Oreochromis niloticus: one gene and its partner. The protein of the gene in region 1 purifies or fractionates together with the protein of each later gene. This does not show direct contact. Links are inferred from orthologs where the notes say so. Each region holds a gene or a part of one and is shown on either strand. Other genes may lie near its edges. The genes, in order: lin7c and rho guanine nucleotide exchange factor 26.

Region 1 (15,474 bases):
GACAACTATTTTGCACCAATAAAGGTTTTTTTTAAAGACCTTGCATAGATAATTGATTTGCATTCCATATTTGCAGCGTGTTTAACTTGAGACTTTGACCTTCAATTCAGCTTACTTCATAAAGAGAAATGGATTACAGGGGATTCACCCACCAAATATACCTGTACTCGTCATGTGTCGTCATTTCTTGTGATATTTAAAGCATTATTTAAGTACCATACAATCAGATGAGAGTCGACGACCCCCTTCACTGACTTACAAAAACCTGCTAATCAAAGCAACAGCTGAGCGAGTTGATGTGAGGGAAATGTGCAGAGACATTCAAATCATCAACACTAGCACGCCACTTTCAACTAATAAAAGGTACCGCTTTTTAACCAGTGATTCATTTCAGTGGATTTAATCTACAGTAATCATTTCACGAGTCTTTTCCCACTTAAAGGATCGATTACCAAAAGCCCACGAGCCGGATTTTAGATTTTATCCTCCCAAAAACAGTACTGATGGACCTCTGAACATCCCATTTACGATTTGTTAGTAACTTGAGGAACATCAGAGTACGTCAGGAGACGGTGGATAAAGTAATAAAAGAAACAGATGGAAATACAAACAGCTGTGGAGCAGCTAACCAGGCAAACGGAAACTCAAAGTGACTTCAAGAACCGGACAGCACACATGCATCGTGCCCGCACACGCCAAGCAGCAGCATGCTCATAAGACTACCTCTCGACTAAAACGGTTCGCTTCTGAAGAACAGTTTGGCATCGGATGGTTAATCTACACTGATAGGAATTACTACCTTTACATTACTACCTTCCTGTCTCAATAATGCCAGGTGTTGATCCTGAGACTGGACAATAGTATGGCTTAGTCAGCAAAAGCCTGGTTTCCATAATTCTGTACACACATTATTAGAACTACCCTGCAAACAAAAAACCTCTAGGAATAAATCTTTGAAGTTAAATCTGTCCTGTAGATATTTTGCCAAAAAAGGTGGATGATTAGACATCTACTGAGTTGATGTTTTAATGAAACAATACATTTTATTTTTAAGAGAAAACCAAGACTTGTGGACTTGTTTGACTGAGATGTAGGCCTATAGATATAAATGAATGAAGATTTCCCTATGATGACTATCAACACAGTAGCTAAACATGCAGCCACTTCATAACTATAAAATGTGGAACATGATTAAGTGTACATGTAATTGTGGCAGCCTACACATTAAAATATACTGTAGACAATTAAGACTTTTTTGTGATTTGCCTGCTTAACAATTCACATCAGAACAAACTTGATTGTTTGGCAGTATTTGGTAATAAAGTGTTTATCATTCTCATTTTTATGATATGCATTTTGTATATTATATATGAGTACATTTGTGCCCAACCCACCTAAAAAAGAAAAAAGAAAAAGAAAAAACTTATTTGCGCAAAGATGAATGGAAAATAAACTGGTAATGACATGCAGGCAAGACCAAGTTTGAAATTATTGCTGTAAATTATTGAAATATGGGCTTTACTAACATTTTATTAACATTTTACAAGCATCAAAAAATGATTTTTTTTAAAGTAGCTGTCGATAGATCTTACCCAAGCACCTGTATTGTCTTTTGTCCTTTAACATGAATGCGATATGAGAATACAAAAAGTCATCAAACATTTGCTTTTTTTCATCCCTTGCTAGATATTAAGTTACAAAATGTAAGAAAAAAAACTGATGAAAGATTACAAACACAAATACAGTATGTGTACTAACATTTCATTCATTGAACAAGTGATCAAAACTCACATGCTGCATTAATGTGACTGAAGTTTTGGTCAAACGGGCTTAGAGGCTGGTTGGCAACCCCTTGGTTGTCCTCTGGTTGCTAGGGGGAAAAGTGTATTCCTCGACTAGTTGGTGAGTGCTTGCAAGCAGCGGGAAATGAGCTCCGAAGAGGGCGCTGCACCAAAAACCTCAGACACTCGCCAATTACTCGCTGAGCGATAGTGAAACTTGAGGGAGTGCAAGTTTGGAGAACTTTCCCCTTCAAAGTAAAAGTTGTTTCTTACTATTGCTGTCAACATGGTTTAAAAAGCGCAAATGGATCAGCTTCTGGTTTGTGTCACAGTTTTTGAAATTTCACTCAGTGAACAGTTGGCGAGTATTTGGAGGTAAGTTGGTATTATCCATGCAAACTACAGCAATATGCTAACAACCAAACCTCTTTGTTAATCATTTCATGTAGTCGCTGGCAGCAACTACTTGCCAGCCGGTTGGGGAGCACACTTATTTTCCCTGGCAACCAGAGGTTTCCAGGGATTTGCTAACAAGCCTCTTAGCCTTGGTGAATGAGGCTGTAGCAGTCGATTTCACAGATAGCCAGCAATCTCCAGCAAACACTCTCCAATCGGCTGGATAATACACATTTTTCCCTAATGATCGGTGGTTGCCAGGGGGTCACAGTTTGGTTTCTAGGCTTGCATGACCAGGGCCTTACAGAGACTGTAGGCATCTGACTAGCTGGATTTTACAAATGCCTAATTTTATCTTATTCTGATGGTCACTGGATAACTGATTTCTTATCAAGTTCTTTCACCGGCAGAGTAAAAATGTGACACAGTACATTCCTCATTTATGTCAAAACAAAATAACTGACTTTCATCTCATGTCATACTGACTCCAGAGTTTCGAGGGTTTATTTTTTTTGATAAATGTGCGAGTCTTTGTGGTGTCAGCTATTTAGTTCACGAGTTGCTGAGACCCCATTACATCACTTACTGGAGCTTTTTATAGCGTGGCATGATGTTAAAGTCTTACAGGGTAAGCCTAGAGAGAACGCTCAAACATAATCCAGCACTTTTGCTACTTTTTGTAGGGTAGCCATAATACCAATCTAACAACTTATCACTTTTTAACTAATTTAGACTGTCGTCAGCACCTCTAAAGCTACAGTCTCTGAGAAAACAGGTGAAAAGCATGAATTAATTCCTGCCACAACAGTTTAATTTCCAGAAATTTAAACGGTTAAAGAAAGAAGAGAAAGGAAAAAACAGTACATAAGATAAATGTGTTTGCCCTGAGGCACTTGGTAGTGGCTCTGATAAATCACTGAAAAACACTACCTTTTCAGTCAAAGCAGTTGTATAGTTTGTCTCAGAAGTTGCATTCAAATTGTCAATTCAAAAATAATGCACATGGTGTGACACACACTGACAATCGTGATCTTCCTAGTGTTCGTCTAGAGTTGTAGTGTCTAGTACAATACACGATGGTGAATATCAAAATGCTACAGAAAAGGGCAGAAGCGCAATATACAGTATGTATGAGCTAAAACTAAACAGGAGCGTGTTCTTTTTTTTGTTCTTTTTTCGGGGGCAGGGAAATGAGAAAGGGATCAGAACAGATGGCCAGAAGGCTAAAGGAGGAGAGACATGGGAGCTGGGCATCAACATGGGAAAATCCTACTTGGGAAAGTTGTTCTGTTGCCGGCGCTTCGCCGACCTCATTTTCTCAAAGCGTGACTCCATTTCCTCTAGGACTTTGGGGGTGTACCTTACTACCAGCTTCACTGTGCCCTGAGCTGCTTTGAGGAGTTCCACAGCTTTCTCGTGGTGCTCTCCTTCCACACTCTAAAGGCAAAAGAAACACAGAAATTGACTTTAAGATTTCACCAGGAACAGATAAAAGTCCATGATTTCTACAGATTAACCTACTGGGTCCAATTATTAAACACAAGAGCAACGAGGTATGTGGCCACTTTTTGAGTAAACAAAAGTTTTATATGTACTGAAGTGAATGTAGTTCCAAAATAAGCTCTAGCAGCTGTTCACATATAACAGCCTGCAATTTGGAAATTTTAATGAGGGAACAAGCTGAGCAATAAACAAAGTCAACTGGATGATTGCTATTGGCTGATCTTTGAGATTTACACTTCCAGACAATAGCATGGCACGTTTACATTCAGTGTTCCATCAGCACTCACTGTGTCCATCTTTAAGCCATAACAAACATGTTGAACACATTAACATTTCCAGAGCTTTACAAGAGGAACCTGACACATTCATTATTTACATCAATATACTATTACTACCATTATTATTACCATTATTATTATTATTATTTCTAAACATACAAAATTGACAGCTTCCTGTCACTGACATAAGGAAATGTTTTTCCATCGCACCAAGAAGACGCCAAAGACTCCACAGGGTTTCTGAGGTTTTTTTTCTGACAGCTGCTTCGTGCCAGCTCACTGGTAATATGGATTACTGAAGAAGGTTTAGCTGGTAAATGGCCATCATTGTCAGACTCTATGGCTAATAATCAACCAACATGATGATGTAAGTCTGAACATAAAAAAAAGCACAGGTGAGCACAGGCAGGGGATTTTATTGATTTTGTTTTTTGTTGATGCAAATTCCACTGATTGAATCCTGTCACTCCCTATGATGGACAAACTGTTGCCAACAACTCCAAGCTACAAGCTGATATCTTCTTATAGCACTCCCCTGTTTACTAGGCTTTAATAAGCTTCATTTTAAGGCACTACTAGAAGAGTTTGACGAGTGGGAGAGTTGTTGACCTGCCTTACAAGTTCTCATTAATAAATTATGGTGTAACAAGTTCAGAAACAAGGATTTTACAAGTAGATGGGTCCCCAGATTTTTGCACGGTTATTGCAGTTCCTTTTTTTTTTTAAATCCTGAAACAAAATCTAGCTGTGCATTAGTTTTTTTGAAGAATGTATTATTTCTAATATCTGCCTGTTTAAAAAAAAATCTGAAATAGAGAATTTGCTCAGGCTCAGTCTAAAATGTAAACCATGCTGTGAATTCAAACGCACCACTCCATTCACTGAGAGAAGCTGGTCCCCTCTTTTCAGGCCTCCATGTCGGTCAGCGATGCCTCCTGGGATGATCCGTGAGATGTAAATTGGTGAGTTTTGCTCCTTTCCGCCCATTATATTGAAACCCAACCCTTCTTCTGTCTTGGGCAGTTCCACAACTCGTGGATGTGAGTGTCCCTCACTTGCTGCAAAAGCTGCCACTGTAGCCTACAAATAGGAAAGTGGTGTTTAGATATCTCGTCTGTATGTACTGCAGTCAAAGCACAAAATTACCCATTTTAAGAAATTAAATGTCTGAAATTAAGATTACAAAAAGACCAAATCTTGTGTTCAGACAGTAACTGACAACTGTCTACCTTTGCTGTGGCATTGGCCCTGACCTCGGGGCTGCTGTTGATGTCCACTGTTTCATACACATGCTCATAGACCTGAGGAGACATTAGTGGACAATATTTCAACAGGCGAACACAAAGAATTCAAACCAAACCAAAGGGTTAACTTTCTATAACCATAACAGCTGTGGGCAGCCAGCATATTTCTACGACTGTCAAAAACACTTTTGTACACAGTATACTTTAACAATTTGAGTTAAGTCAACACTTAACAATAAATCAGGGGAAAAAAGAAATGGCTGTGCAATTTAAGTATTTTGCAATATTTTACATTTTATTTCACACTATGGCTGACGTACATCTGTAAATAGTGATGGTTGTCAGTCCACTATTTACAGCGTTCGATCACATCAATTTCGAGGAGGCTGCAAAGCTTTGTAAAAGGGGACTTATATGATGTGAAAATGTTTATCAAAGGGAAAATGTGATTTTTCAGACTCTCTAGCTTAACGTTATCTGGTATAACACTAGCTGTTGTTCTTATAGCCGTCTGGCTATCAGCTGTCCCAAAGCGGCAGGGCCACATACCCAATCTGCTGATGATAACTAAATGTGATATTATCGCGAACGAATAAGTATGTTTATGCACGTTTTATTATGTTAGAGTCTCGATTTCAGTTGAGGAGATGAGGCGTGAGGTGAGGAAAAAGAGAATGAGTTGGAGGTTAGGGAGCAGAGAGGAGGGGTGGATGTGCCAGATGAAGAAGAGGAGGACAAAGAGGTAATGGTAAAGAGATGTTGAAAACATAAATGTACAAATCTTAAATGGTCATATATAGCTAGAAAGCGCTATTAGTGACCTTAAAATTTAAACTAACTTTTAACCAGACTTCCACTCTCTTAATTTTGGAGCATTCTATTGGGAATTCTACTGGGATGCAGACGGTTAAGCTCCAAACTGTAAACTAATGTCTCTTAATTAAGTGTTTTGAATGATACAAGATGAAAGAGACTCACTTCTCTGACAGCATTACAGAATTCACTCTGTAGGACCCTCTGCAGTGCCTGCAGCTTCTGGGGAGGCACTTCCCCTGTCCTCTGGAGTTTATCAAGCAATTCAATAGCACGGTTGATATCTGTCAACAAGAACATGTACATAACCATTACTGAGGCCTGCAAATGTAGATGTTAACATTGGCAGTGAGAGTTACCCACATCAGCGTCAGAGCACAGTCGGCACCCATTTAAAGCTGCAGCCTTTTTTTTCTGTTACAATTTACATTTACTTGCACTATATTTGTTCTTATTATAGATATGCTCCGGACAAGCTTGTCTCCCACGGTCACCAGAACATACTACAATTAGTACAAATCGCTATAATGCAATAATAAAGCAACTCTCAGAGTAACACCCCTTTTATAAAGTAAATTTAACCACCCCTGACGGGATGAGGCAGCAGGCATCACGTTTTTGTTTTTTTTATTTTGTTTTTGCGAATGTACAGCTTACTTTAATAGCAATGAATTCATAAGCATTTGCAAGTTTATTAAATATTTCTAATCGTGAAGTTTTACGTGTGTACTTACTTGTGTAACCCGTAAGTTTAACCTAACACACAAATCTGGGCTTCCTCTGCACATTTCAGCAACACACACCCAGAACTTATGTTATTTACAGACAGGCCGCAAAAATTAATATAATGATACAACCAGCGTAACTGTAAAATCTTCTTTCTTTTATGGTAAGATACAGTGAACAAACCAGCCAGATTGGCTAATCACTGTCTGTTGTCATTAATATTAGCTAGGTGGCTAATGTGCTAAGTACAACAATGTAGCTGTAATAGCTGTGGCTTCTTTAGCTGGGTGACTATATATACATAATCATACAAGAATTAACCGCAAGATGTCTACTCTATCGTTATCCCACCATAAAACAGAGTACACAGACAAAAATAAGCCGCCTGCTTTAATGAGCTAATGCTAGCTAGGCTAGGTTTATGTCGCCCGCATATCACAACAAATATTTTTAAGCTAAAGCTAGCTAGCTAATTAACTTCACCTCTTTCCAATCGCACGGGCTCCCCAAGCGATGCCATTATTGAAATGAGAGGATGTTTGGCGTTAGGGAGATAGTTCGCTAAAAGGAAAAATACTGAAAACTAAGTTTGGTAATCCTGGCTGGCGTTATGTGCGCTTAACTGAGACGATAAATCAGATTAGCCAAGTTAGCCGGCTAGGCTAGCTGCCAGTGTCATGATGCGTTCAGGGAAACCTCGTAAAACTGTGAACTCGGAATGTTCAATCACATTTTAAAGTCACTGCGTTTGTATTTGTTACTTTATCCTTTTACTAGACGACTACTGGTGTAAAACTATGATATATCATACATACATAAGCCACATAGATTTACCAATATTCCACCTCGCTTTAGTGTACAAATGTCCTTTCTTTAATTCGTCCAAACGTACACCTTAGCAGCTTCAAATGTTGGATATTAGTAATGCCAGATTTAGTTTTAAGCACAGCGGTTTGATTTTATTATGTTTACTGCTGATGCTGACAATGAGAGTCGGGATATTTTTGTGCCATGCATATAGCCCACTGAAGGTCTCGTTGGCTAGAATCCAAACCCAGATTCCATATTACCATTTAACAACCCGAGGGGTGGAGAACTCCATTTAACATCTTCGCTCAGCCTCCACAGACATAGCTCAAAGGACGATTACATTAATATGTACTGCCACAACAAGGGCCAACCAGAAGAAGGTTTATTTGGCTTTTTGTTGACGTCTGATATGAGCGCTCTCTCTGCCACCCCCTACTGGTGAGCTGCATCACATTTTGAGCCTCCATGAATGCAGAAAACTGCAGCTGCACTGCTTCTCTGTATCCTGAAACTTTAGAGCATGATTCACTCCTGACCACACCCCAGTGGGTGATGAAACGCAAATCTTTTGACAGGTGATGAAAAATACCTAATGTGACATCACGAATGTGGGCGTGGCATAAAGTAGACACGCTTAAAGACTTGGTGAGCAGCAGCTTTTGTTCTTTTCTTAACACAGTAGGCCCATTGTTTTCCTAAAAGATTGTAGGATTCACTCATATGCCTGATTTATGGTCACACTGAAAAACACCACGGGCTTCACCCTGCCTCCCTTTATGCACTCTTTTATTAAATGTATGATTGGCAGATTATTTTTTTGAACTTTGTAAAAAATAGTAGCCTAAGGCTCATGCTCATGATAAACAAAACACATCCTTATCATCTTATCTAAAATGTTGAATGGCTGATTCATTGTCCTACGTGCTGAGGACGGGATAGTGCTTGAATTTTACCAAATCATTCCCATTTATACCTTCAGGTGGATTTTCCTTGAAGACCAGATCATTTATGATATTGTTCGTCTTCCCACTGTTTGTGTTGCAGAAGCCTCGGTATCTTTTTTGCTTTTAATGATATTAACTCACAGCATCATCATCAGGCTTCTGTGAAGGGTCCAAGCAGGGAAGTGAAGAAACTGGCCCATCTTTCCTTCACCGTCTTCAGATCTGGCTGTCTTTGCACTTACCTTCAGGCTGATGGAGGCGTGGTAAAATGAGGTGATTGTGTTCATTCATAAGGGATCGCTGGTGTTTTGAAGAAATTTTGTTTATGCATTTTTGTTGTTTTTAATCTTTCTGCAGTATGTTCTGGAAATGTTTTATGTAACGAAGATGAGACGCTGAACATATTTTATTGTATTCCCACTAAAACCTTAAGCTATGGAATCCAGACTTGGCAGGCATGCATTGCAATGAGTTATTATCTGCCCGAGGGAGAAAGTTGATATAAAGCCTCGGCAGTCTTTTAACCCAGGTGCCAAACCAGTTATGGAGATCGGCTTCTCCTTCTGATCACAGTGACTTTAGAGCTAAAAAAATCAGTGGTGATTGTCCTATTGTGGAGGAGTTAAAGCTGGGATTACAGCGCACTAATAACAAAACGCTGGGTGTACATTTTTAATGTACACAAATGTATGGGTGGTTGAATCCATCACTGTCAAGCTCAGGCAGTCTACCCACTTGTACTAGTCTGCACTTGAACGCGTAGGCCCTTTTCTTGTGTTAATAGGGTCTCGTAATTGTGCGACATCACACGTGCAGCTGGAGCAAAAGCTCTGAACACCTGTGTATGAACACCAAAGATCCAAAGCACATAAACTTGTGTTGAAAAAATGTGCTGGTGGGGAGCAGGAAGCGGTTTAGGGGCACTTCCTCTCTCTTTCTCCGTTTTCTTTTCCTTCCTGAAGTAGCTGAATGACACCAGGAGCTGCTTTCTGTACTCTAACACTGGTTATCTGTGAGTGACCCAAAGCAAGGACTCATTTTCTTATCTTAAAACATCACTTCTTGTTGCTCAGGATTTGAATTTCTGCTCTTTCATGCTTCGGACATGTGGCGGTTTGTGCGCATGCATGTGTGCATATGTGCCTCCTCCCTCCTTGCCTGCCGACTGTCCGTATAATAAAGTTTACCCTGCCTAAAAATGCACCGTTGAAACTTTATCGACATTGATTTTGTTTTTCAGTTGCCTATAGTCATTTTTATTTCTTCAAATATTTCAGTTTAATATTGCAAACAACTTCACAACATACAAAATGAATAATATTAACCCAGAAACATGTCAATGAATAAATTTTATATATATATATATATTTATATAATTTTTTATATATATATCTTGTCCTCTGGTGGGGATAAAAAAATAAACAGCAAAGCTTTGACAACAGCACCTTGACATAGTATGTAATTCCAACATTACCTTGAGAAGTTTAGAACAGTAAACAGATAAATTACTTGAGAGGAAATTGTTTTCTGCTGAATATGTAAACGGAATGTTTTTTTTATTATTTTTTTTGGTCAGCATCATATCCTTTTTTTTCTGTAAGTGGAGAATTTATCGATTCACAATTGAAGCAGCATGCAAGCTTTTGAAGATGGAACTGTCCTCGCTCTCTCTCTCTCTCTGTCTCCCTCTTTGTCTCTCTCTCCCTCATTTCTTGCCTGTTAATTTTTTTCCTTCCTTTTCTAATTCTTGGCAACCTAAACAAATCACAATGTCTTGAGGAATGTGACATAGTAATTTAAACTGGGCGCAAATGACTGATCAGATTTTTTTTAATTGTTTACAAGGTCATGAATATGTTCAATAAATAGACTGTAGTATCACTTTTACTGTATAAACTTCATCTTTTTTTACATGCAGTCCATAAAATTTTCATTTGACGGAATAATTTACCCTGTTATGTATATATACAAATAGATATTTTCTCTTTATTCTCTTTTTTAAACTCTTCAATAAAATCTATACATTTTATACACTATCTCCCTCTTTTAATGGTCAATGTGCATACACATGAAGTGTCTATCCTTATAAACCGCCAGCCAATCTTCTTTTTGCTATCCATGGTAAGCGCTCGCACGTAGGACTGGGTTGTCCTGCATTGGGAATTATAATGCCGCTTGTCTATTCCTCTGCAGCCCTCCTTTGTGTACCCCATGGGGTTGCATTTGGTCTCATAAAAGTATTGCTTCAGTTGGCCATTGGGGACAGGGACCTTTTCCATGACGGTAACTTGCTGCCCGGACATGTCTATTGCCGTCTTTTTATCCACAGCTGTCACCCACTGGCTAATACTGTCACACACACTGAGCTCTCCACGTCGTGAGGGATCGGAGTGTCGCCGCACCCTCATGGACATATTAGCGGCATCCAGATAGTTTTTGTATTCCTCCAGGAGAAAGAGCAACGGCGGCTCCAAAGGCACTTGGTTGCTGATCATCACCCGCGAGTTGTACAGATCGACATCCTTGGCCTCCGTGGTGACTACAGAGGATGGGCCACCACCTCCCTGGCTCTTATCGGCCCCCTGTCCCAGCTGCGCCGCCTCGCCCTCCACCTCCAGCAACTCCTCTATCACTTGCTCAAATGTGTCTGTGAGCGAGGGCAGTTCCCCGCGCTGGCCTGGCCCTCCACCGCTCTGGGGAGTCCCGTGGCCTCTTTCGGCCGTTGCAGCAGCGCCCAAGTAGCCTTCCGTCCGATGGCCCCGCATGCCCGGGGCATCTCTCAGGGGCGCAGCTCTCATGCAACTGAAGTATGAAATAACCATAGTAAGGAACAGGATGGTCATCACTCTTCTAACCTGGTGGAACTGGAGGGACGGGAGAGAGACACAGAAAGAAAACAAGAAGAGAGAGGAGGGTTGGGGGAGGGCGAGAGAACGAGATGGTCAGTCAAAGAGCATCTTCAACAAAGTTAGCTTATTTTTGATCCATAATGCACCACGTAAGCCTCTCCTCCTATTTCCACCCTCCACTCTTTGTTTGCGAGCCAAAAAACTGGAGCCAGTAGCTTCGGAATAATCACAACATGTTTTTATTAAACTGATATTGGCACTGTGTCATCGGTGTTTTCAAATTGTTTGCAAACTGTAATCATTCTGTTCCTATGTGAGGTCTGGCTTAGATCTCTATTTGTTGGCAGCAATGCACAAAAGCTGTGCTGAGCATCAGAGCGGCTGCTTATTACAAAAGATAAGATTACACAAATAGATGTCGAAACATCCTAACAGCTTTTTGACTGGTCTGTTAAAAAGGCACGGTGCCGTGTATATTTATAATGGCCACACCTGCCAATCATGGCTTTCTGTTGGAATAATTGGCTGTTTTTCTTTCTTTTTTTCCTTTTTTTTGGCTGTACTGAAAGCTCACAGCTGCCCCCCTGCTTTTGGGTAAGGAAATTGAGGATTTTCATTCTTAAACTTCATCCTGTAGTTGTTGAATTCTTGTGGATGGATTTATGCCCGCCCCCCCAACCCGCGTTACGAATACGCGACCGTGACGTTACCGTACAAACAAATCACCAGTATTAACACTTCGGGAACCTCCGGTGTGGACAGCACTTCCTAACAGAGTCAGTGTGTTTGTGTCAGCGCTGGCAAACACTGATGCTGCAGTATTACTTTATTAAAAAGAAAAAAAAAACTGGTCTGTGCTGTAGGACGGGTCAGGTACTACACCTTGTAGTCATGAATGGGAACTATGGGTTTGTTGAGGGACACTGTTTGTTTTCGGCAGGTGGAAGGCGAGAGCACTGCGGGATGAATTAACAGGAAACTGAATGACAGAATGATGTGATATCCTGCCGTGCAAAGCACTGCTATCGAGGCTCTGGAGAACAACTCAAAACATATGCAAAACCAAACTGAAACACTGTACATACATATTGTAAAATTACCTGAGCATGTGTGCGTCCCTTACCTCTGAGAAGCTCTAAGATTCACAGCAAATCAATGAATCCAAAGGACATAGATTTAAAAACACCCATAATTTTTTAAAAAAAGAAAAAAAAAATCTAGATCTTGCCTTCCACAGGGGCTCATTTAAAAATAGCCTGGCCGAGGCTTTGACTGCACTCTGCATGTCCGAGCCTGACACAGGAAAACACGGCGAGAGCGAGCCCCTGCTCCAGCCTCCACTCACAGAATGGACACAAGGACCTTTACAGTATAGGGAGGAGCGAAACCCCACCTTAAAAGCATTTGTTTCATTCTTAATTGGTATCTGGGGCTGTGGCTGCAATTAACCGACACCACGGTGACTGCCATAGAGATATCTCGTCTAAAAATAGACGTGCTGGGAGTCTCACAGTCTCTATTCAGAATATCACATCCTTCTTCTTAATGAGCCACTCATTCCCTGAGCTCAGTGACGTGCTCCTCCGGAGTGTGTGAGTGTGCGTGTTAGAGGGAGGGCATGGGGAGGGGCTGGCTTGTATGTGTTTTGCAGTGAGGTGGTGATGGTGGTGCTGGTGGTGGGGTGGGTATTTTTCCTCTCACCAACTACAACGAGGACAAAGCCAAGAATAAAGAGCTAATTGTCAACTCGGATATTGTTAACAAAATTCCATTTATGGCTCATTAACCCTTCGGTGTTGCGAAGGTTGTGGTTAAAATGATATCTGCGAGGCTTCCCAGCACTGAGAATCGTGTAGGTTTTTACGGGATCGAGGCCAGTCACGAGCTTTATGTGTAGGATGCATTTAGGCTGATATTATTATCAGCATCGTGCTCAAATGGTTCCACTTCCACATGAGGGAAATGAAGGCAGAGGGCTGATTACTGTTAGGCGTCAAACTTCATGCTGGAAATGGTGCAGACGAAGAGTGCTGCATCTTCCGTAACAGACCACAGGGGTAATATTGCAGTAGCAGGGGGTGGAGAGAGTGCCAGCGTCATTTCGCAGCATAACAACCACAGATGACGTCTCTTCCAGGTCTCCATAGGGGAGAGAATGGAGAGAAGGGGTGGGGTGGAGGAGAGGGGGGGAGAGGTTGCTGGGGGTAATGCCACTCAACAGTGTGCAATTGCAGAGCCATTCCCCCGTGTATCCTCACACCGGGAACAACAGATGATTTTATTTCTATCTCGCTGATTTCCTGTTTCCATCAGTACAATCAATATGGCTTATGCTCTCAATCAACATCCTGTTAAAATGCGATAAAGCCAATGAATCATTTAATTGCTGTGGGACCGGCGGAGGATCTCTGGCTTATATCTGTGAGAGGCTAAATGTGACAACATCCAGTGTCTGAAGATTTTATGCGGATTTCACAGTTAATAAAAAAGCGTCCCGAGCGTTAACAGAATGAGCAATGAATAATAAAGCAAGGGATGGATTACATATGGAAGAATAAGACTCCCCCCCCCCCCCTCCTTTGGAGCTTCTAGTTATCAGCTTTGTGGCAACTTGTGCTTGAGAAAGGTGCAGTTTCCTCTGAGCTGACTGTTTAAAGAATGCACAGCCATCTAAACATGACATGCTGAGAACTGAGCTAATAACATGAACAGGGGAAAATAAAGCCCACAATAACTGCTGCTCAAACATGCCTTTATTCATGACAGCACGCCTGGAGCGTGAAACACCCCGAACAATAGCAGCAGGTGAGTGTGCGGACTCTGTCTTCTGTTTAGCTCCAGATGACCACCTGTTCATCTGCTTTGAGAGCACGGCTGTATGGCAGGGATATGTAACTTACCCTCGCAGTTATTCTTTGTGCCAGGTGGGGATTAAAGTGATAAATGCCTCCTCTGACAGACGCTGAAAAGTTTCCCTACAGCATGAAAGGACTAGCGTGGCTAGTGTTATTACATACTACAGTAACGTTCCCAGCCTCCACGCACATGTCTGCACACTTTATGCACATCTTTACTAACGGCAGGCGTGATATCTTATAAGCCACCGCATGGGGAAAAAAAACACATCAAGAGAGGAGATCTGAAGTGCGGTTACCACATTTGAATGGAAATGTGCGACCCCATGGCAACATTTGTTCTCTGCCTCTGTCTCTGCTCCCTCGTGGGCATCCATCTTTGTTTAATTCCTCAAGAATACAGTTTACCTGGCAACATGTTTTATCACGCTCAATAAGTATAACACACAAAGCCAAATGTTCAGTTTGAGAGCAGGAAAAGTACAGCAAATATTATCAAAATGGCTACCCTAGGACCCCTTGTGCACTACATTGCAGCACTTAAAGAAAAAAAAAAAAACAGGCATTTAGACTTAATTGTGTTGTCTGCATTAATGGCTGACACATGTGGAAGCTTGCTTCCTGAGATCTGTTTTCAATCTGATGCAGCTTCAGAGCACGTTTTACTAATACATGAGCATCACTGAGGATTATACCTGGCCGCCAGGCCAACCCCAGCCACTGCCACAGAAAGCCCAGCATTCAAATACCTGCTGAGTGATTTATGCTACCCAAAAGAGCTGTTAACTCCCTCCCACACTGCGTGCAGCAGTGGGCACTTTAGAAGATACAACAGCAACATACAGCATGGTAAAATCCTTACTGATGTGCTTAGGTTCTTGTAAGCTTAGCGAAGAAATCCTCATTTTAACCCATGAATGACCAACAGACCTGCGGCTGCACACTGACAGCGCTGCTGTGCCCAGCTTTGTACACTAGATGGCATATGAGACCGTCAAATAGTCTGAGCTCGTTTTCTTCCACCCTTTCTCCACCTTTCTCCCCTCTGTTTTTCCTTCCTCCCCATGAAATACGATAGATAGATAGATAGATAGATAGATAGATAGATAGATAGATAGATAGATAGATAGATAGATAGGACAACCATTGTCTTTTCCAGGGCATAGTCATATAAGACATCTATAAAGTTAAGTTGGATGTTGTTTAGTTACAAGCCCAATTTGCTTTTATCATCGGAAAGAATGGTTCATCAAAAAAATTCGTCATTAAACCATC
Region 2 (15,728 bases), on another chromosome or scaffold:
CCTGGGTTTATTTTTCTATTTACAGAATCAAGCTTAACTGTAAGCTTATCATCTCTTTAAAGAATGAAATCAACACAACTAGAAAAAAACACAACAGCATTTCTCGATTTTTCTTTCAATGGGTTTTAGATCAGCTGAATCATATAAGGGTGTAGCTTTAGATAGCATCAGATAACACTAGACATACTAGAGAAGTAATTGGAAAGGTTGGGGATCCGAGCAGGTTGGAGTCCAAAGAGTCCCTTTGATATGTGACTCTTAAAATCTTCCTCACTTCACAATCTGTGGTGGCATAATAAGCACCAATGGGACTTATAGAACTTGTGACTGAAAGGCAAACAAAATGTCTTTGGTGTTTCAGAGCTTTAAAACAAATACCGGATCTCTCATTGATTACAAACACAGAAATGACAGAAATGAGAACAGTTAATGTGCACTTAGATCTACTAAAATACCAGAGAAGCTGCAGAACAGACAGCTGAGCATAACAAATGCATGTTTGTCTCAAAAATACAGCAATCATATAAGACCAGATGGCCTGAACAATGCAAGATGTTCAAAACTGTTTTATAATTGATGAATATTTATATGCCAGTTTATTGTCAGTATGAAGGAATCTATTCTAACAGACTTTAAGACTAGAGAAATAGCTCAACCAAAACAGGATAAGGACACCTTTTGAATAAACTGGAAATTCAGTCCATCTAAATGTAATTTTCTCTCTCTACTATCTCACTAGCTCTTGTTTCTCTCAGTCAATTTAAATGCCTTCAACTGATTATAGCTGACATTATTTCAGATGTCTGGGCAGTTCTATACTCCTGAGCCATCCCGCTGATCTACCAGGAAGGCTGATCCAAGTGAAAAGCTATCATACACCAGCTCTGTGAGAATCACACACCTTTGGGTCTGACACGTCTCCTCTTAGGACACTAGTCTGAACATTTTGCAGCTGTCACCTCCAGCTTTGAGCTAATTTTGCGTTCTCCCTCCATGCCCAGTAGTGCATGTCTCAATGCAACTTGCCAAACAAGATGACGTCATCATCCTGGGGCAAACAGCCAATGGAAACCCACAGGGGGGAGTCAATCACGGGTCATCGCAGTAATCTAGGCCAATCAGCACAAGCCAAAAGGCCTGTAACCATGGTGATTAGCTTGGGTTCAAATATGTGTATATGTGGCAAATACCCCCTGGGTTGGTTCCATATGTACCAATGTACATAGTAAGCATTTGGCATCGTAGACTGTGGATGAGGATGTGTATTAAAAGGAGACAGAGTTATGAGCTGAAGTGGGTTCAGTCATGGGACAAATAGTGAACTGCTGTACTAGTTTTGTAACATATGGCTTATGCCATCAAAGCATCTATCAATATATCTAAATATCTGTCTTTTTTTTTCTCCAGCTCCTGCTGGTTACACACTTTGTCAGCCTTTGTAATTTATCGCTGTGGCAATTACAGTCGTTACCTCTTCTCTGTATTGTTCTGCGAGGAGGATGGCTGAGGAGACGTGTGGGTGGCCGTGAAGGATGAGGGGAGGGGAAGCAAGGACAGCCAGCAAACAGCACTGCTCAGTAGGAAAACTACAATAGGCTGTGAGTCAGAGGAAAAACAGGAGTGAGGAAAAGAGAGGTATGCTCAGGAAAGGTCAGCTTGTGGAGGGCTTTTTCAAAATGCCAGAAGACTGAAAAGCGCAGGAACGCTGTGCACAGTTCATCTCTGTGACTTACATCTTTAATGTTCATATCTGGCTTGGAGGAATTCAAGCATGTACAATAGGATAAACAGAAAAAAGGGGGAGGAAGTGCTGCTACTGAGGGAAAACATAAAATCTATCAAATGACACAACAGTGTGAATTTTTTTCCTAGAAAACTTTCAAAATGTATCAAAATCCATTTCCTTAACTGGTTATTCAATTTAGGGTCAAGGTAAAGTTGGAGCATATCCCTGATGTGACTGAGCAAAAGCCAGGGTACATCCTGGACAGATCGCCTGTCTATCACAGGGCTGACACAGACACCCAGACGACCATTCACACTCCTATTCACACCTATGTTCAATTAAGAATCTTGTGTTAACCTTAATGCTGTTAGCGGTGGGTTTGAATCTACTGGCCTACTGGCCTATCTGGAGTTTGTAAGGACTCAAAGCTTCCTCACAAAGACATGGACGTGTTTTACACATAATGGGAAATTAAATATAGGGTGTTACTCTTCACAGTTTACTTTAATTACTCGTCTGTCCTACTTCCTCATGTTTTGATTATCATTAACCACACAGTGATCACAATGGGAAATTATCTGACCCTTACATTCCTCACCCAGGAAACTCTGTTTTTAATCCTTATTATGTGCTTCATACCCACGGTAAATTAATCATCATTCAAATAGTTTAACAGTTGGTTGTTTGAGAGATACCACGCTTTGTGAGTTCTACTTCATTCCTGTCACGCTACAGATGAATGAGATTGCATCTGTGGTGCTCACAGACTTGGAAAAAGATCTCTGAAATTAAACAACAGTGTGTCTTTGAAAACATGTCCCTATCTGCATAATGCACATATCTTGTTTTGAACAACTGGAACTTGTTGTTAATACAAAAGAAGCTCTTATCAAAAACCACTGACGGAGACGTGCGTGATTGTGCAGAGAAACCTGTTTCAAAGCATCGCCTGCAGTTGTAATTCAGTTCTTCAAAGCAGAAACCTAAAGAGAATAGCAAAAAATGCATTTTGGGTTTGTTTGTCCTGAAATTATTAAAAGTCTTGACATGAGAAACCTCCTCCCCGCTTAAATTGAGACACTATTGGGTCTTGTATTGAAGAAAAAGCCCTAAGGTTGCTTTTGCTGAAAATGAGAGAGCTGATTTCCCCATGTAGCTTTAAAATGTGATTTCAAAACTTAACACTTGACACAGCAAAGTGCTGCAGAGATCTCTCCCTAGCAGAGTCTGACACAGTTTTATGCAAATGCACATTGCACTGGCGAATAGTTAAACCCTGCAGGTTAAGCGGCTTAAATACAAAAGAATGAAGGCTAAGGCAATAATCCTTGGCACTTGGTATAACAAGATACTCTTTTATTTCTGTAATTTACACTAAATTTAGTCTATAAGCCTATTAAAGCATTTATATGCGAGTTTTTCTTTTAATCTTGTTTTTTTTTTTAATTTACAGTTATGGATAGATATTCTTTGCCTTAAATGAGGATCTGGATGAAAAATCTGCTGCTTTTTTGCAGAAATAATAAGAAGTGTACATATACTAGAAATAATATTTTGTGCTAGCATTTTCCTGATTTAGAGAAGAAACCAACATTGAGGCAATGATAAACAGTACAGTGTAGCAACAATGGAGCTAGTTTAGCAAGCTGCTGCAGGTATTACTCATTTCTAGAGAAGACTTCATAAATACATACAGAGCAAGGCCAAAAAGACATTTGTGAGCCATATTAAGGGAACAGGGACAGGAACCCTGGAGGTTAGTGGCACTTGTACTTTAAGACCTCGACATTCCTCAAACATATATATATTTGAGCCATGATTTAGATTTTGAAAACACTCCTACAAAACCCTGCGTGTGAACACATCTCACCTTGACGCTTAAATCAACACAACCTGTCTGTTTCAAGATGACATTTAAATTCTTCGCTGATTTAAATTAATCAGAAACGTCTTCAGGTCTTAAGTATTTATTGGTGGGGTGCAAAGACCGAAAGAAACGCTCCTTTTCTTCCTTTCCACAGTAATTCCAGCTGCTTTTCTAGAAACAGTTGCCTTTCAGTAGCATGACTTTAATGCTCTCTGTCAGAGTTGTCATTTTCACTCGCACCACTTTAACCTTAGTTCTGCTTGTTGTACCTCTGCTGCTCCAAATCGTTTTGAAGCATGCTCTGCTCAGACAAGCACAAGCCCACACAGAAAGACTGAGATAATGCTCTTGCCTTATCAATCACAACATTTACAAAGAAAAACTTGGCATCTAAGATCAGCCAGACATAGCTTACCCCTAAAATGTTTCTGTTTTTTACACCTCCCTTAAGAATTTATCACCAACTCCTTATACTCTACTGATTTTTACTAGTTCTCCGTTTATAAAAAGGCTATTTGGGATTTTTTTTTTTACATCCCATGCCACAGGGGGGTTGTATTTGGATCTTCCAGTTGGAGGAGAGTGTCTCTGATGGTGAAGTGGCTATTTTTTTTTTTTAACCAGACAGTGTGAGGAAATATATAGCTCTTTAAACAATACAACAGGATAGGCTGCTGCACTTCCTCAATATAACATGATGAGGAAGACCCACATGGGGCCTCTATGACAAATCCAGTCATGGAAACATAAAATACACTCACGATGATGCAGATTTTACTTTGAATTTACTTAATAAACACTGTGCTGGTGATGTTTCTTGTGGTAACATTAACATGGTTCTGGATTAATGTAGGTAATTTCGCAATTTTGCATAAACAAGTGACTAACAGCAAGAAAGAATACCACGACTATTATACACACTTTTTGAAATTTGTAAATACAGCAGAGATGACAGTGATTCAACTATCTGACCTGTGACTTACTCAAGGTTAAAGATTTAGTCTCCTCTGCAGTATTGCACAAAAGTCTTCTGCTAGGAAAATAAGAAAGCGATGCAACGGTTTGTTGACATGTGCAAACATTCGTGGGAATACAGTGTATAAGAGTTTGCACAGTTCTAACCAGCATAAAAGTCAATATTTGGTATGACCATCTCTATTATTCAGCACAGCCTTAACTCTCTTGGGCAGCTTTCTTCTAATATCTTTAGGTAGTCTTCGGGAATATTTCTCCAGGCTTTTTCAAGGACATTCAAAGCTCTTCTTTAGATGTGGGCTGCTTTTTGTTCTGTCCTCTGTCAAGATGGTCCCACACTGCTTCAATAATGTAAAGCTCCAGGGAGGCCAATCCATGACTGATGGTGTCCCACTGAGTGTTTTCTATCCAAGTATGCTGATGCTACATTGACAGCATGTTTGGGATCATTGTCACACTGAAAAATGAAGCTGTTGTCAATCAGATGTTTCCAGATGTTGTGTCAAAATATGTCGGCACTGTTCTGTATTCATGATTGCGTCAGTTTTGACAAGATCGTCAACACGACTGGCTGCAGCCCTAAACCATGACAGCACCTCCACTGTGTTTCTCAGATCACTGCAGACACTCACATCTCCTCCGACCTCCTCTATACTTGTTGACAGTGATACAGTATTTATCAGTCATTTTATATTTGGATTCATGACTGCATAAGATCAGTTTGTGTGTATTTGGCATACCTCAGCCTTTTCTCCCTCTTTTCCTTCCTTAAGGACTCCAAAAAGCCACCTTTCCACTCAGATCATTTCTGATGAGGGTTTGGTGAAAAGAGTAGGCGAATCAACTGAAGCTCCAGATGCATCTCTCAGGTCCTATGTCAGGCCTTTGCTGAATTTTTTCCTATTTATTGAGGACATGACTTTCAGATGTTGTTTATCAGTTTGGTTGGTCTGTCATAAGTTTTTTTTTTTTTTTTTTTTGTTATGCTTGCCACTTCTTTTGTTCTCCACTTGTCCAGCTTCCTCAATTTTTTAAGGGCACAGTATACATCATGCCATGATATGGCAAGTTTTTAGAAAATAACAGTTTGGGAACCAACTTGGTGGTGCAAAAGTACTATTTCAATACGGTCAAACTCTGCTATCTTTGGCATTCTTCAGAGATTCAACTAAAGATGTGGCAACAAGTGATATGTTTTTGTGAAAGGTTGCTAGTAAGAAAGTGCCTAAAGAGAAATTGGTTCTTTGCTAAGTTGTCTATTATGTGTAGACAGAACGCCCCTGCGCTGGGGGGGGGGGGGGGGGGGGTTAAACCTGAAAGATTCATAGAGCAGTTAAGTGGCTTGACAAAAAAAAAGAAGTAAAATAATAAATGATAATAATAATAATAAATAGATTTCTCTGAAAATGACTGAAAAAGACACTGGTGTCTAAAGAAAAGTTTCGAAAGATTCTGAGAAAGCCTGTAAAGGTATCATGAAACTATTTAAGATCATGTTAAAAAAAAATTAGAAGACAATCTGGTAAAAAATAAAGAAATGAGGGCTAGCTCAAGAATTTTGCACAGCACTATATGTGTTTAAAACACAGCAGTACACAACAATACTGACAACTGGCTGCAGGAGCAAGCTTTGCAAAGTTCTGCAGGAACCATTTTTTTCTTTTTGTGTATTATTGTGTAGGGGACACTTTTAATCCTGAGCATGTTATTATTTCAACACCACCTCAGTCAAACAGCAGCAGGCCCACTCTTACGGATGATTCACAGGTTATGGAGAAAGTGTAGACACGTGTTTTGGCGGACTGCAAGCATACAGAGTGTAGCATGTGATCAGTGCAGGCTATAAATAACTTGAACTCGGTTTACACTTAATAGGTTTCCCAGTGTGTGGAATGATGGTCGACCTTCTGAAGTCTCCTCAGAGTACACTTCAGTTTTAAGAGCAGTGATGAGCAGTAAGCGCGACAATCGCGCCCCTTGTTGGTCAAATACATTAAGTACTGGCGAGCTGAATGCGCCACACATTACGCCCTAATCACTAAGCACATAAAATTTGGCATGTGCTTAGAAGATTTCGTGAGCGGTTAAACTGTGAGTCATGTTTTTGAAGTTAAAGGGGAGCATTTTGTTTAATGCGTTTGTATAATAATAGAAAAAAAGAGAAAACTTATTCCACTGACAGTATTGCGCAACGCAGAAAGCGGCGATGCATGAATTAACCACAACCACGGATTGCAAAACACATTTTATTTGAGTGGGAATGAAAAACTATAAATCCTTCAGGGGGCTTTATTTACTCGGTATTTTTAGAAGCCTTAGCAAATGCCATTGCAAAACAACAAAACGGCGGGGACATTCTATGAATTCCACTGCTAGAAGAAGCTTGAAACGTAGTCATGGGTTTATTATGGAGCAAGAAATTACTCGACACAGTCCAGGAAATATTTGGGGGTAAACACCGGTGGTTTTATAAAAGGGGGGGGGGGTTATATTTTCCCGATATTTTCCTCCAGCTGTCTCCAACAGCTTAGAGAACTACCTTTGCACTCATCAGTGCTGTACAAATAATTTTCATTGACTGTTTATCACAGATCATCACGGCTGGGAAGGCCTGATGCAGTTGCATCACAGAACACACGATGGCGCACAGCAGCAACAGGTAAATGTTGTTTATATGCTTTCTGTGGCCACATTCCGCACTTCACTCTGTAGAGTTAATAAAGCTTTAGGTATTTAGATTTCTTTTTGTTCCCTTTCACGTCACGCAACAGCATCTTTTGACTGGCCCCGAATGTATTCTTAAGCTTAAAAAGCGTCAAAACTCTTCATTTGTTGATGAAGTTAGACTCTTCATTTCCAAAAAGCAGGCGTTCCAAACATAACAACAAACAACAAACAACAACAAACAAACAACAAAGTAGATTCCTTTAAAAAGAGAGAGCGATAGAGAGGAAAATACTGCTGTCAAACGTGTTTGCTCCACTTTTTCAAATTGATCTTGCCGAATAAAAACCTTTAAAATCTAACAACGCTTTATTATTCGATTCACATAAAGTGTTTCCTGTTACTTTACTTTCAGAATGTTTTCACGTTTACGATCAAACCGCACTGTTTGTCTTTCGTGGAAGTCTCTGCTGATCCGTAGTATGAATCGTTACTCTAGCAGGTGAATTTCTGTGAACTTGGGAGTGCCATATTTTTTTCTTACTCTGTTCTGGTTAGCTCCCCTCCCTTCCCCTCCTCTCAGTCATAGAAACTCCCCAGCGCGCACAGAAGCGCTTCAGACGCGTTCAGTACCCCCGCACGCGAGTTTCTTATCGGTCAGTAACTTTCGTAACTCTGGTTTCACAAACCTTTATTTGTTGATTCAGCGCTGAAAGCACGTTAATTTTATCCGTTTCGCTAAAGAGGGCTGCCACTCGAGAAGGCAGGGAGGATGAACGGATTCTGCATTGGATCGACTGATTAAAGGTAAGTTGGAGACACTATAACCTGTGGGAAAAAAATCTTTTATAATCTCGCTGAAAAGCTCCCAGTTACGCGCCTCTTTATAGCTATACGCATTTTTGCAGACAGAAAAACAGAGTTAAAAAATCAGAAAATTGTGAATTCAGATTCTGAGAAGATAAAAACAAATGTGGTCTGTAAAGGCGCTGTTGCTGCTTAACATTTTTGCTCTTTTATAGTAGTTTAATTGCAACATTGTCTTGTAATTGGGGCATTCCACCTCGGTGAACATTTACAAAAGGGCTGTTTCTCTCCTCACTGGCTTGCTTATGTGTGTTCTTTAAGTTTAGCTGCCAGTATCAGCACTAAATCCCTGTTAATGATTAAAGTCTGGGAATTCGGACACCACACTGAGTTCTTTGATATTGATTGGTATCTCTCTCTTGTTTGTTTTCAGGGTTTTTTTTCTCCCGACACCGAGCCACAGGTTTGGACACAGATAGGGAAGAAGAGACACTCGCATTTCAACCATGGATTACGGCAATGATGTAGATTTGTCCAATAATAATATCATGCCTTTGTGGAAACGCCGCACTGATAACAGTAAAAGGCCCCAGGACTTAAGCAGTCCTAAACCACGGCCCCACAGTTGCCACATAAATGGGGTCATGAAGACAAACTTCACTGAGGAGGACAACAAATGTTCCTTCACCTTGAGCCAGCCTGCTGAGAGACTTGTGGTCACACCCCAGTGTGTTGACAATAACACAGCGGTGTTAAAGCATGTTTTACATAAACCCTCAAAGAAAAACAGAGTGGTTCGAAGCATCAGCATCAGCCACCTCTCCAATGGACGCTTGTTGTCCAAATTTAGGTCTGAGGATAACAAATCCGCTTCACTGGACAATAGGGTATATAATAGGAACTCTGACGGGGTGAAAGCGAGTAATGGGGAGATGATATGGCCTGAAAAGCATCTCTGGGATTCACAGACATGCATGTCCAGTCTGTTAAGTCAGAGTTCTCAGAAGGGCCAGATTGCGTTTCAGAAGAATTCACCTTCAACAGAAAATACTCCTCTTAATGGTTCCTCACCTGTCTTTTCACCAGACACTCCTAACAACAACTACAACCAACCTGAACTGTCCTCCCTTTCATCCACATGCAGCTCATCTCCTCCAACCCATCGCATGCTCACCCCCTCCTACAGCTCCACCTCCAGCATCCCCTCCCTCAACTCCTTAACCTCCTCAGACCCCCCAACCCCTCGATCTCCATCGCCAGAAGACAGAGGGCAGGCACTACTCAGGCAGTCCCAGGCATCCTCACCTATATCCCCACAGGACACCAGGCATACCTCTTCATCTTCTTCCATGTCTTCCACATCACCCTCACCGTCACTCTCCCCACCCATCTGTCCCTCTAACGGCATTGTCCTAAGCACCCATAGCCCCGCTGCTCTCAAGATGGGTACCCAGCAGCTTATTCCCAAGGGCTTAGCATCCGATATTCGGCAATGCAAGGCACCTTCCCCTGGGACACAAGCTCAAGGATCGGCAGGGCTGCTGGGGTTGGATCATTCCAAGCGTTCCTTGAAAGCCCTGAGCATGGTGGAAACTGGAAGCTACTTTTCTACAGGAGGCCACAATGAGGGGGAAGATGGTGAAAGTGAGAGCCCAGGGGCTCTTAGAAGAGGCTTGAGGACTACATCCTACAGGAGAGCAGTTGTGAGTGGAGTAGACTCAGAGGTATCAGCAGCAGATCCCAAGGGCCATCGGCTGTCCCACCCTGTCATCAGAGGGCTAGGCATGGATAAATCAGATTCACTAGTTAGCCCAACAAGTCCTGGCTCTATAAGTCTGCCAAGTGTTGGAACCAACAAGCCTGACAGCCCCATGACACCCAAAGATGTCAGCACCAAGAATTCAAAGTCTAGCCTTGGAACAGAAAAGACTAAAAGCAATGGGAAAAACAAGGTGAGTAAATCAGTTTGAAAGAACAGAGTGGGGTCAAATTGTACGTGTTAAGAAATCACACAAATTTAACACATTTGTCATTCACATATAGGGGAGTAGGAGAAATTTAAATATTCAAATCAAAGTCTTAATATCTAAATATTAATTTTAATTGTGTTTTTTCAGAAGACAGTTGAAAAAACAACAAGCTTTATATATAATATAATTAATAGAATGAATTATTGTGTATTTTAGTATATTCAGGTGACTTTAGAGAACAAGCTGTAGAGAAGTGCCATAAATGATCAATTTTAGAAAAGCAAGCTTTTAGCAAATGATAGTTGTCGAAATCTGCAATCAGTGAATACTCTGTCAACTTTTGGCATTACTTTTCCCCCCTGTTCTGTAGCACATTAAGATTTCTCAACTCGGCAACAATCCCTCTGATGGTTTTATATTTAATTGTGCACAGAGATTGCTTCATGGTGGACTTTTGTTATCTGGGGGGGGGGGTGAAGCTCAAATTGGAAAATTACAACACAACCAGTAAAAGTACAGTGGAACAAGTTTGGTGGCAACAGCTGCAGAAGTTAGAACAAGGCCTTATAAAGAAACAATGTGGTTGCTGGAAGACATGACGCAATATGACACTGTCCCCACACATACACTTAAATACACAGAGGCTCTGTAATTAGCCAGGGGTCACTGAAGGAGGCAACTTGAAAAAGGGTACGAACAGGTAGTGAACAGGTGAAACAAGTTTCTTTCTTTAATGGTTTGCATGTGTCTCTACTTGGTTTTTCAGAGTTCATTAAACCCATTATGCTGTTTTTTTTCTGTTTCAGAGTCCAGATAAGAAGAAGGTTTTGACCAGTCAGCTGACTTTTGACAGCGAGGGTGAGAAATTCTGTTTGTGTTTCTGTGTTATATTTTTGCTATAAAGGATCAGAATAAAGAAACCCCTACACTTTTACATCTGTGATTTTGCAGAGGAAGAGCTTTACCAGAACTACAAGGAGAATGCATTACATAATGACTCAGATGAGGATCCCGATTCCAGGGAACCCAAACCTGATAACAACATTGTAGTGCAGTACAGGCCCATACGTACCTCCTGGAGCCAGCTTAGTGTGGTAAGACATAACACACACAGACACAGTAGTAGTCTTTGTTCTTCCTCTTATATTTTAAACTCTTTCTGCATCTTGGAGTGTGGTTGTGTAGTTTTGGAATGCTAGTGCTCCAAAGAATGCTGTCATATCCAGTTTGGCCACCATCTGTACCCATCCTCCCACTGCGTTCTGCTTTCCTTTGCCCCTCACTCTGTTTATCAGGGAGTACACGAGCAGTTTGTCAAGGGTTTGTGCAGGCTGGGAGTCAGACAGGCCCACAGGAAGTCTCGGAAGCACTGCTGGGATTAATGCCAATGTGTTGGCAAACGCTGTACGCTCGTCAGACTGCAAATATGCCTAAAATGTTGCCTCCGGGGAGAGTTGTGGTGGCTTTGCATTACATAATGTAGTTAAGGATTGGAGTTGAGGGGCAGAGGAATATAAGGGAAGGGGAATTGGCTAATTTAGTTTTCTACTAATGCATCCCCATCTGTTTGTTTACTGGTAGAGGATGGAAAGTGTGTGAGCAAAAGCAGGCCGTAGCCGAGATTGAGGTATTGAGGATTGTACTGTCTGCACATGGTCTCTAATAAGTAGGAGATTGGATTGAAGGCTGAAAACATTGTAGAGAGACTTTTTGTTTTGTTTATATTTATGTCAGCCAGACACTAAAGTGAACTGAGCACAGACTGACCGGGATTCTGCCAAAGTAAGCTTTCTTTCTATCACAGCTGCTTTACAGCTGTTCGTCTTTGTGAATGTGTTAGAGCCTTCAGCCTGTGATCTAGTTCTGAAGAATTTTCTTTACCCTACAGATTCAGGAATACTCGTGTGATTGGTGATTGTCCTGGTGTGACAGGAATTTTTTTTTTCCAGTGGAGCCGAGAACCAAATGTACAAGATGTCATCTTGTGACTCTTGCTTAATCCTAACTCTCAGCTCCACCCTTCTATTATCAGTCTCTCATCTTTTTGATGAAATGTCACATCCCAGAATTGTCTTGGTTCCAAGAATTACCATTCACGCTTTCAGAAGGTGCGGCTGTTTTGGAGCGATCTTGTTCCGTGGTTTCTAAATTACCTGAAGGCAACCTAATCAAGTCAATAAAGTAAAAAAAGGAATTAATAGTTGCCATTTAATAATTACACTTGATTAATTATGCTCAGTTTCAACCAGAGAAGGATGATGGTCAATTGGTTGAAACCTCTTTGCTCGTACAGGGCAATGGAAAAACGGGCTGCCAGGAAAATAGGAGCAGTATCTAGTAACACTGATGGCCGTATGTGTGAGAGAAATCAAATAGTGTGTGTTTGACCTGCTTCAGGTTTATTTGTTCTCAGTGTTTGGAGAGAGCTGCAGGGCAGATACTCCTGCAGGAGTATCTCTTCCTTATTGCTTTGCACAAAAATGGGTTGAGGAGCTAGTGCAAGTAAGGGAAACTATCTTCGGGATTTCTTGTTGCTTACATGTATCGGTAAAGTATAATGTGGTTGAGCCTCTGGTCATGTTGATTAAATCTGGTGTAACGCAAGAAGGTGTTTATTACTCAGCCTTGTATTTAGTTTGACAAAGCCACAGGCTGATTAATTCAATAGCACTCCACACCCAGTCCATTTCAAAAGGTTGCTTTGTTTCAGTCTCATTCAAACATCTTTCGATCAAAGCTCTCCAGCCACATGCCAATGCAGTTTCCTTTCAGCCCAATTCCACTTTCAAAATGAGCAGAAGTGGTCCCTGTTTAATCTTAGTGTTTGGATCCAACAAATTTCTATACTCCTGTAGTGTTTCTTGCAAAGAGTGCCTTTCTTTGTGCTCCTTAGATATGAAAAAAGGCAACAGCCCACACCTGTGCTGTGATTGCATGTAGTTCATCGAGTGTGAATTTCAAAAACGATGCAAAAAATTTTTCTGACTTACTGTTCGTTTAGGTTAAGAAAAGTGGCCTGTGTGAGCAGATAAGTCAAGAAGAACGCAAAAGACAAGAGGTAGGAGTCGTTCTATACTTTCTAGCTTATTTTAAGTTATTTTTTCTGATTCATACTTTAAGTAGTTAGATGTGTAATTACTTTAAACGCCTACTTCATATGATTGAAACCCAGAGTCATCATTACCAGGACCTAGTGGGATAACTGAATCCCAAATATCTTACTTTGATGTTTCCTCTCGGTTGATGTGTCTCTTGCTCCTCCTTAGGCCATTTTTGAGGTGATCTCGTCGGAGCACTCCTATCTCCACAGTCTAGAGATCCTGATCCGCATGTTCAAGGATTCTCCAGAGCTCAGGGAGACCATGACCAAGACTGAGCACCATCACCTGTTCTCCAATATCACTGATGTCTGTGAGGCTAGCAAAAAGTGAGTGTAGCTGTTGTGTAAGTAGATTTGTTATCAGATGAGCACCTTTATTCGTCTTCATATTTGGTACTCATGCTGTTGGTTAAAAGAATTTGTTGGTTTAGAGCAGGAGTGTCAAACATAAGACGCAGGGGCCAGAATCGGCCTGGGAAAGACTTCAGTCTGGCCCACTGGATGGCTTTGGAAAAGTGAAGGAGGACATAGATTTTAGACTTTAAATTGTATTTCCATAAGTTTTAAAGCTTGTCATACTGATAAAGAGACCCCCCCCCCCCCCCCCCCCATAGTAATTTATACCACACTAAAGTAATTTATTAATAGATAAACAATTAAATAACATAAAAGTTCCTGTTTTTTCACTTCTACCTACTATAGAATATGTATATTTTTCTACTATTGGTCCACAGTAAAAGAAATAAATAACAAACAAAAGGACATTTTTTTTTTTTTTTATGAATTCACACAAATCTTCAGTTTTGTGATTACAGGTGAGCTATCAGAACTTTCTCTGTAATTTTACAGATTTATTTATTCTTGCTGACAGATTTCTTTCATTTAGTATAGCAGCATTTCTTTATCATGTTGAAAAAACTGAGACTTATCCATGCAATTGCACTTGCTTTTCCTACGTTAAGTATCTGAGAGATTTTCAGTGTGTTGTTAAATGTTTTTACATTTATAGAAAGGGGAGTTTCACTGGTCCGGCTCCCTTAAGATCAAAGTAGGCTGCATGTGGCCCACGATTTAAAATGAGTTTGGCATCGCTGGTTTAATTGGTTGGTTGTTTACTTTTTAGGCTTCAGGTGTCTTTCATCACTTTGGTTTTGCCTAATTAGCTGGATAATTTGGCATACTTAACTATCCAGTGTATGCTAATACAGGCTTTCAGCTACTCTCCTCCCTAGAGTAAGGGTTGTTTTCATTGTCAAAGGTTTTGTGTTTACGCTGCGCTGAGCTCTTTTCTGGATGCGAGTGTAAGTGAAGTCACATGCTGATTGACGAAAAGCAGACATGGAGAAGAAGCAAGGGGCAAATTGAGTGAAACGACAAGGAACAAAGAAGTCTTCCTCATAATTATGGTTGCATTGTTAAAGTGAACATTCCTCACTGATTGAAAGCACTGAAACAGGCAGCATGTCTGGGGTTTTTTATGCGTCTATGAAAAATTGCTGCCATGGATCCTCTGAGGTTACCTGTCCATCATGACTTTATAGTTCACTGTTTAATAACATTCCCGGCCACGTAGCATGACCTTCCAAAAATCGTATAAAGTGATGGAAACAATCATGCATGAGAGGCCATGAAAGCTGAGACTGATGAAAACTGTGATGGCTCAGCAATTACTCTGGTGGATCGGACTCCATTATTTCTACAAATGATTGGCAGAGCAGTTTCTGGCCGCCAGTTGCTCTTCCTCGAGTTTATCTCCGAGGCCACTTTTAGATATGACATCATTTCTTAGACGCTTTCCATGATATCAATATGACAAAGGTTGAACGTTCAGCTGTAATTCAGTCTGTTAATATTATCACATCAGTGTCTCTATATGATAGTAAAATTCTCTCAAATCACTGTTCACTTTATTACAGTCCTGTTTCTTCCTTCACCTGTTTTAGAAACATGTGATTTCACTTTGGTTAAGACCACATTTAGCACAAGATGTAAAATACTTTTAAGTAAATCACTTCAAAATCAAGAGTATCTTGAATATGATAATCCTGACGTTTAATTTTCAAATGTGACTCTTTAATCAGAGTTGCATTAAAATCTCAGATTAAAAAAAATCTGAGCATGAAATGAGATTACGCTACAATTTTCCAGTCTCCTAGGGTGCTCGTTGATTTGGGGCTAAAATGCAAAAACAACCAAATTATCTTAATACTGCTCAGTGAGATGTGTGTGCACATATGCATAGAAACTAATAATAAGAATAATAAGAACAACTTTATTTATCCTGAGGGAAATTCTTTTGTCATGTACATGCTCAAAGCAGCAGGAGAGACAGAGGAACAGATGAAATAGATATAAGATATACAATATATACAATAAGAATAGTGTACAGTAATATACAGTAGGATAGTGCAAGATATAGTATCGGATAACTATATCCTGGTGAATAAATAACTTAACTATCAGTGCAGATGGTTCTAGAAAGTGACAAAGTATTGTGCAATAGAATAAACTACCAGTTATTCATGACATTTGATGAAGATTACAACTTTACATAGTACATGGTACATAGTACACATATACCTGGTGCATCTCCAGTACGCATACGTCCTCCTCAATATT

Evidence for each region.
Region 2: the proteins of lin7c (region 1) and rho guanine nucleotide exchange factor 26 purify together in Homo sapiens (affinity purification with mass spectrometry; 3 studies listed by BioGRID and IntAct, counting the BioPlex papers as one, with this or other methods). This does not show direct contact. The link is inferred for Oreochromis niloticus from reciprocal best matches to the Homo sapiens genes LIN7C and ARHGEF26.

Annotation. Positions count from the first base shown.
Region 1 is NC_031965.2:17,983,530-17,999,003, forward strand, and holds the start of lin7c (protein lin-7 homolog C), read right to left. Parts: upstream 7,439-15,474; 5' UTR 7,262-7,438; coding exon 7,225-7,261; intron 6,300-7,224; coding exon 6,181-6,299; intron 5,260-6,180; coding exon 5,188-5,259; intron 5,039-5,187; coding exon 4,829-5,038; intron 3,615-4,828; coding exon 3,447-3,614; 3' UTR 1-3,446. Other genes in the region: neurotrophic factor BDNF precursor form, read right to left, coding at 10,529-11,359. UniProt on the Homo sapiens protein: Plays a role in establishing and maintaining the asymmetric distribution of channels and receptors at the plasma membrane of polarized cells.
Region 2 is NC_031979.2:24,505,941-24,521,668, forward strand, and holds the start of rho guanine nucleotide exchange factor 26, read left to right. Parts: upstream 1-7,810; 5' UTR 7,811-8,039; intron 8,040-8,472; 5' UTR 8,473-8,545; coding exon 8,546-9,991; intron 9,992-10,815; coding exon 10,816-10,867; intron 10,868-10,960; coding exon 10,961-11,103; intron 11,104-13,010; coding exon 13,011-13,067; intron 13,068-13,275; coding exon 13,276-13,436; intron 13,437-15,728. UniProt on the Homo sapiens protein: Activates RhoG GTPase by promoting the exchange of GDP by GTP. Required for the formation of membrane ruffles during macropinocytosis. Required for the formation of cup-like structures during trans-endothelial migration of leukocytes.